Linked DNA regions of Callithrix jacchus. The protein of the gene in region 2 interacts with the protein of the main gene of each other region in a biochemical or structural test. Links are inferred from orthologs where the notes say so. Each region holds a gene or a part of one and is shown on either strand. Other genes may lie near its edges.

Region 1 (3,907 bases), on a different chromosome or scaffold from region 2:
CCATGTCCAAAACGTCCTCTTTTTCTGTGTAGCCTGTTCTCAGGTAGATTTCTTAGGGCTGCCTTCTCTCTCTCTCTCTCTCTCTCTCTTTTTTTTTTTTAAAGATGGGGTTTTACCATGACGGCCAGGCTGGTTTTGAACTCCTGACCTCAGGTGATCCACCCACCTTGGCCTCCCAAAATGCTAGGATTACAGGCGTGAGCCACTACGCCCAGCCAGGGCTGCCTTCTCATGAGATCAAAACCACCTCCTCCTGGAGGTAGTAAAGACTTTAACCTTGTTTAAGAAGAAGTTTGGCCTGGCTTTCTCCTCCTGGAAGGCAATCTGTTTGCCTGGGAATCTTCAGCTAGCCAGAGAGTAACAGTGTGATTTGGGGCTTAACGCTAGGCTTTTTAACCCCAGGCTTGGGATTACATGGATATCACTTAACCAAGAGGCTGATATCAACTAGGAAAGCAATCAGTCAATCACACACATGCAATGGAGCCCAGTCAAAGTTCTGCGAGCTGCAGCTAAGTGAGCTTCCCCGGCTGGCAGTGCTTTGTGTGTGGCCACACTTCAGTGCAGGGCAAGTAATGAGGCCTGACTCCACAGGGAGAGGATCACGGGAGGACCTTGAAGCTCCACACTCTAATCCCCAGGCTCCCCCACTGCTCTTCTTCCTGGGCTGATGTTAATCTGTATCATTTCCCTGTAAGAAACCATAGCTGTGAGTACAGTAATTTTTAGTGAATTCTGTGATCCCTTCCAGCAAATTATGGAACTCGAAGGTGGTTTTGGAAATCCCCAGAACTTGCAGTTGGTGTCGGAGGTGACGGTGGCCTCAGGGACTGTTCCTCCAACCTGTGTAGCTCACCTAAGCTCCTGCACCTTCATGACGACCTCTCTGCCAGTTCTTCTCTGTGCCCATGCCCCCATTTTCTTTTCTCTATTATTTATTTGTCTGTGTCTGTATTGCCTGTGTCTCCCGCCCAGAACTGCATCCCAGGGCAGGGCCTGCGGGTGCTCTTCACGTTACCTCCCCCTAATGTTATGCTCCTTAAGCATCATGTGTGTTACATGATCCCTTCTCCTTCATTCACACCCCAGGCTGGACGTGGACCCTAAGAGAAAGTTCGGCATGTGTGTTAACCAAAGCTGCACCCAGCTCATTCCGGGAGCTTTGCTCTTTGTCACTATTCGTTGAATGATCTATATTTTAATAAGTGAAATAATGGGTGTGAAAGCATAAGAGCAGATCAAGAAGGGACAAACAGCACCCGTAGCTCTCCTGCCAGCCTGGGGCTCAGCCGGGCCCCGCCCCTCCCCGCCCAGGCCCCGCCCTCGGCGCCCCGCCTCTCTGCCAGGCCCCGCCCTCGGAGCCCCGCCTCTCTGCCAGGCCCCGCCCCTCGGGGGGGTGCTCCCGCTGGAAAGCGCCGCCGCCTTGTGGGTCCGTGCGGGGCGCGGCGCAGGCCGGGCATGCGCAGAGCGCGCGGGGCGAGGTTGCCGTGGCAGCGCCGGCTCCTGGGAGGGCGGCGGGCGAGGGGCCGGGACAGCGGGGCCTGAGGCGGCGACCCGAGAGCCCGCGGCCCGGCCGGAGGCGGCTCGGAACAGGCTTGAGCGGCGGGGCGGGCGGCCCGGCCGGCGGGGATGAGGGACCGGCTTCCAGACCTGACGGCGGTGAGCCGCGGCCGCGGGTAGCGGTTCAGGCCCGGCCGGGGCGGGCTCTGCAGGGCGGGCGGGGGCTCGGGGCATCCTGGGCGGGGCTCGAGCGTTCTGGGGCGGGGGCTGCGGGCTGGGGTCTCGGGGAGTCCTGAGAGGGGGCTCCGGGCGGGGTCCCCAGGACGGGGTCTCGGGGAGTCCTGAGAGGGGGCTCCGGGCGAGGTCCCCAGGGTGGGGGTCTCGGGAGTCCTGAGAGGGGGCTCCGGGCGGGGTCCCCAGGACGGGGTCTCGGGGAGTCCTGAGAGGGGGCTCCGGGCGAGGTCCCCAGGACGGGGTCTCGGGTGTCCTGAGAGGGGGCTCCGGGCGGGGTCCCCAGGGTGGGGGTCTCGGGAGTCCTGAGAGGGGGCTCCGGGCGGGGTCCCCAGGGTGGGGGTCTCGGGAGTCCTGAGAGGGGGCTCCGGGCGGGGTCCCCAGGACGGGGTCTCGGGGAGTCCTGAGAGGGGGCTCGGGCGGGGTCCCCAGGGTGGGGGTCTCGGGGAGTCCTGAGAGGGGGCTCCGGGCGGGGTCCCCAGGACGGGGTCTTGGGGAGTCCTGAGAGGGGGCTCCGGGCGGGGTCCCCAGGGTGGGGGTCTCGGGAGTCCTGAGAGGGGGCTCCGGGCGGGGTCCCCAGGGTGGGGGTCTCGGGGAGTCCTGAGAGGGGGCTCGGGCGGGGTCCCCAGGACGGGGTCTCGGGGAGTCCTGAGAGGGGGCTCCGGGCGGGGTCCCCAGGACGGGGTCTCGGGGAGTCCTGAGAGGGGGCTCGGGCGGGGTCCCCAGGACGGAGTCTCGGGGAGTCCTGAGAGGGGGCTCCGGGCGGGGTTCCCAGGGTGGGGGTCTCGGGGAGTCCTGAGGGGGCTCCGGGCGGGGTTCCCCGGACGGGGTCTTGGAGCTTCCTGGCGGGGTCCTCCGGGCCGGTTGGGACCAGAGGAGGGGAGGGGAAGGGAGGGTCCCGGCCTTGACCCCGTCTCCAAGAGGGTTCCCTGTCCGTCACTCCACCTGGCGGATTCTATCCGGCGCTTATGCAGCCGGATCCCACCGGCCTAACTGTCGTCCGCCCCTCGGGGTCCCCGCAGCGGCTGTCAGTCCCCGGGGCAGGCCGGGTCCTCTTGCTCGCTGTTTATCCCTTGGGCTTCACGCAGGATCCTGCACCCAGCGGGAGGCAACAGATGGGTGTTAAATGTGAGCGCCTTAAGAGTGCTAGGTGCTTGGGTGGGGCGAGTGCCAACAGCAGCCGGTGTCTGGTCTCCCCAGTAGTTTGCTTTGGGACCTGGACTTGGGTATGTTGACTCTGAACACACCTCGCGCTTCCAGCCAGCCGAGCACACAGGGGACTTGGCGGATGGCACAGCAAATTACTGTTTACTTTAGCAAGGGAAAAGCAGGTCGCTGAAGAATTTGGAAGGATTTTGATGCATTCTCGCGTGTAAAGGTGACAGGACTGTGCATGTGACAGTGAAACTGTAGCGGTGGCCGTGTACTTTCCAGGCTTGTCTTGTCCAGGATGGCTTAGGGCAACGGGAGTAATAACGACTTTCCCTTTACAATGCAGGTGCCGGTTCACGCTGCGTGCGTACACAGGTGCCGCCGCCGGTTCACGCTGCGTGCGTACACAGGTGCCGCCGCCGGTTCACGCTGCGTGCGTACACAGGTGCCGCCGCCGGTTCACGCTGCGTGCGTACACAGGTGCAGTCGCCGGTTCACGCTGCGTGCGTACACAGGTGCAGTCGCCGGTTCACGCTGCGTGCGTACACAGGTGCAGTCGCCGGTTCACGCTGCGTGCGTACACAGGTGCAGTTGCCGGTTCACGCTGCGTGCGTACACAGGTGCCGCCGCCGGTTCACGCTGCGTGCGTACACAGGTGCCGCCGCCGGTTCACGCTGCGTGCGTACACAGGTGCAGTCGCCGGTTCACGCTGCGTGCGTACACAGGTGCAGTCGCCGGTTCACGCTGCGTGCGTACACAGGTGCAGTCGCCGGTTCACGCTGCGTGCGTACACAGGTGCCGCCGCCGGTTCACGCTGCGTGCGTACACAGGTGCAGTCGCCGGTTCACGCTGCGTGCGTACACAGGTGCCGTCGCCGGTTCACGCTGCGTGCGTACACAGGTGCAGTCGCCGGTTCACGCTGCGTGCGTACACAGGTGCCGTCGCCGGTTCACGCTGCGTGCGTACACAGGTGCAGTCGCCGGTTCACGCTGCGTGCGTACACAGGTGCAGTCGCCGGTTCACG
Region 2 (3,907 bases):
GTCATTGATAATAATTCCATGGTTCTCAACCAGGGACACTTTTGTCCTCCAGAGGATATTTAGCAATGTCTGTGATAACAGGGAAATGGGGGGTGGATACTACTGGCATCTTGTCCAGTGATGCTGCTAAACATACACACACACACACACATACACACACACACACACAGAGAGAGAGAGAGAGAGAGAGAGAGAGACAGACAGAGAGAGAAAGAGAGACAGGGTCTTGCTCAGACTGGAGGGCAGTGGTGTGATGTTGGCTCACTGCAACCTCTACCTCTGCAGCTCAGATCCTCCCACCTCAGCCTCCCAAGTAGCTGGGAGTACAGGTGTGTACTACCACACCCGGCTAACTTTCATATTTTTTGTAGAGATGAGGTTTCACCATGTCACTTATGCTGGTCTCAAACTCCTGGACTCAAGCGATCTGTCTGCCTTGACCTCCCAAAGTTCTAGGATTACATATGTGAGCTAGTGCTCCCGATCTGCTGCTAAACATCTTATAATGCACATAATACCCTTGACAACAAAAAAGTATATGTTCCAAAAATGTCAGTAATCCCAAAGTTGACAAACACTAAAGTAGCTTACCTTAATAATCACCAATATCTGACTGTGGTCTTCTAAAGGCTTTTCCTTGAACGATGGGCCAGAGTTTACAGGGCAAAATAGTTCTTCCATTGCATGCCTTTGAAGGAGAGTAAAATGAGCAGCATACCATAGCCCTTGAGTGTTTCAAGGACTTGTGATGTCACAAACACAGAACTGGAAGTTTCCTGAACCTCTAGAAGCAAATCTGGATATACATAGAGATGAATGTAACTGCTCACTTTTATTTGAGGCATTGACGGTCTGGTTAAACAGAGATGTTATAATCTCAATAATATAAGAGGAACACTTCACATAATGATCAACCTTAATGTCATTTCCTTTATCTGATTAGTCTCAGTCACTAAAATTACGGCTCTGAGGGAATGGGTATGAGCTAAGTTTAATAATAAATATAGGCGGCTGGGCACAGTGGCTCACATCTGTAATCCCAGGACTTTGGGAGGCCGGGGCGGGCAGATCACTTGAGGTCAGGAATTTGAGACCAGCCTGGCCAACATGGCGAAACCCCATCTCTACTAAAAATACAAAAATTATCTGGACATGGTGGTGTATGTCTGTAATTCCAGCTACTTGAGAGGCTGAGGCAGGAGAACTGCTTGAACCCGGAAGGCAGAGGTTGCAGAGAACCAAGATAGTGCCACTGCACTCCAGCCTGGATGACAGAGTGAGACTTCGTCTCAGTAATAATAATAAATGTAGGCTGGGCGCAGTGGGTGACACCTGTAATCCAGCACTTTGGAAGGCTGTTCACTTGAGCCCAGGAGTTTGAGACTAGCCTGGGCAAGATGGTGAAACCCGTTTCTACCTAAAAAAAAAAAAATTATAAATACCTTAGGCATGAGTAAGAATAAAACCAGTTATAATGGAATGTCTGCTCTGTGATAGGCAGCATTCATGGATAAAACACTTGACCTATGTTATTTAATTTTAGCAACACCCTGTGAGATAACATTGTCTTAATTTTAGGGTTTTTTGTTTGTTTTTTTTTTTTTGAGACCGAGTCATGATCTGTTGCCAGGCTAGAGTGCAGTGACGTCATTTCGGCTCACTGCAACCTCTGCCTCCCGGGTTCAAGCGATTCTTCTGCCTCAGCCTCCTGAGTAGCTGGGACTACAGGCGCCCGCTACCATACCAGGCTATTTTTTTTTTTTTTTTTTTAAGTAGAGAAGGGGTTTCACCATGTTGGCCAAGATGGTCTCCATCTCCTGACCCACCCACCTCGGCCTCCCAAAGTGTTGAGATTACAGGCATGAGCCACCGTGACTGGCCCAACATTATCCTAATTTTAACTCAAGATCTTGAGGTTCCAAGAAAAATTTTAATTTACCCAAAGTCGTAAATTATTAGTAGCTAGTCCGAGATCTGAAACTCGGGCAGGTCTGTCCTAAAAGCTCTTGCACCTCCCATTAAATTTTAGTAAATTTTACAAGGAAGGAGTTATTTCAAATTTTAGCCTGAACAGTTGCCACTGACTAAAGGAAATGGCGGGACACCAAGGAAGGAGCTAGAGGGAGGCCGGGAAAGAACAAGGAGAAATAAAGAAAATGAAAAAGGGACCAGGGAGACTGTTCATAGCGTCCAATGCTGCGGACCGACTCTCCCGCAAGCTGACCTGCCTTTGTTCTTCCTCCATTCTTTTTGAGAAAAACCTCTTCCTGTGTGTCCGTTGTTCACTCTCTTGTGTTCAAATAAAGCTAGATTATTGAGAACGGCTGCAGGCAAAGGAAAAAAAAGAGCGTGACGGCCTCGCTGTGCGCCTGCGCGCTGGCGGCGGCTGTGGCAGGGCCCGGCGGGGAGCGGGTCCGGAGCAGGCTCCCGGACCCAAAACTGAAGGGGGGAGTCTGGGGCGTCAGGGAGCTCCCTCGCCTGTCTCTCGGCGGCCTGATGGAGTAAGAGGGGTTGGCTGTGAATGTGAGTATCGATGGGCCGGCCTGCGTTGAGCGTATTGGAGCCCAAGGGTCCTGGTGGTCTGTCCCTTAGGGAGATTGTGTGGCTGCAAGACGCGGCCCGCTTTCTGCTCCGGCAGGCTGCGGCGCAGGGGTAACCCAGCGGTCCACTCTCCCAGAGCCGGCGCGGGATTACAGGCAGGCGGTGCTGCTGGCTTCGGGGTACGGATTTTCGTGGGGGCGTTCCAGCTCTGCTCCCAGCCCCAGAAGGAAATGTGGCTCCAAAGCCTTGACCTTTAGGGGAAGCCGCTGACCTTCGGTCCTCAGTTGGGCAGGGAGTCCAAAAGACCCTGGTGCTTAAAGCCGGTAGTCTCAGGTCCCGCGACACATTTCAACCTCTCGCGACTGACAACCTTCGTTCCTTTTTCTCCTTTCCTTTCTCTCCGTGTGTGATGTATCTTAATAATGGCAACTAATTATGGAGCGGTTACTGTGTTCATTTAATATTTAGTCAGAATCTCGGTTTATAGTTATGGAGAGGAAACGCTTTACACCCTCCTCCCATTTCAGTTTGTTGTTTAATCATCTTTGAGAGTAAGATTTGTTGAGAAGTTCGAGATTCGCTTTTAGCAACTTGAGACTGCCATTCTAGGTCAGGGAAGTTCTCTTGCTTAGCAAACAAGTGCTGTATCCACCGTAATGGTTTATATCCAGCCTATTCAAACCACAAATAACTTTTGAGTACTTACTAAGAGTTTAGTACTGTTGTAAATCCCATGGGAAACCTTAAAATTTGCTTTAAGGGCCGGGCGCGGTGACTCATGCCTGCGATCTTTGGGAGGCCTAGGCGGGTGGATCACGAGGTCAAGGAGTTCAAGACCAGCCTGACCAAGACGGTGAAACCCCGTCTGTACTAAAAATACAAAAAATTAGCCGGGCTTGGTGGTGGGCGCCTGTAATCCCAGGACTCTGGAGGCTGAGGCAGAGAATCGGTTGAGCCCCAGGAAGCGGAGGTTGCAGTGAGCCGAGACCGCGCCACTGTACTCCCTCCTGGGCGAGAGAGAGGCTCAATCTCAAAAAAAAATTTTTTTTTTTTTTGCTTTAAGGCCCGTTCTCAAGTTTGGTCGTGAATGAAATAAGGGACGACAGTATTCAGATGCAACTAGAATTTATTTAGTATCTACTACACAGTTGCCAATTACATTTACGTGTGTCATAAAAATATTAATGAGATATTGTAATGGAAAGTAGGTTTCTGCAGCATTTCAAATGAGATCGCTGGGATTTTGCTAGTAATTTGCTCAAGCTAAACTAGCTAGAGTAGGTGGTGAAATTCACTTAATACGATTCCAAAAGCACGTCTTTTCCCAAGCAAACTGCATTACAGTTACAGTTTCTAGAGTTAACTT

Evidence for each region.
Region 1: the proteins of SNAP23 (region 2) and STX2 form a complex in vitro, tested with the Homo sapiens proteins (2 studies listed by BioGRID). The link is inferred for Callithrix jacchus from reciprocal best matches to the Homo sapiens genes SNAP23 and STX2.

What each region holds. Positions count from the first base shown.
Region 1 is NC_133510.1:134,052,069-134,055,975, reverse strand, and holds the start of STX2 (syntaxin-2), read left to right. Parts: upstream 1-1,458; 5' UTR 1,459-1,629; coding exon 1,630-1,659; intron 1,660-3,907.
Region 2 is NC_133509.1:30,175,986-30,179,892, reverse strand, and holds the start of SNAP23 (synaptosomal-associated protein 23), read right to left. Parts: upstream 2,309-3,907; 5' UTR 2,225-2,308; intron 797-2,224; exon of another isoform or gene 689-796; 5' UTR 592-688; intron 70-591; exon of another isoform or gene 1-69. UniProt on the Homo sapiens protein: Essential component of the high affinity receptor for the general membrane fusion machinery and an important regulator of transport vesicle docking and fusion.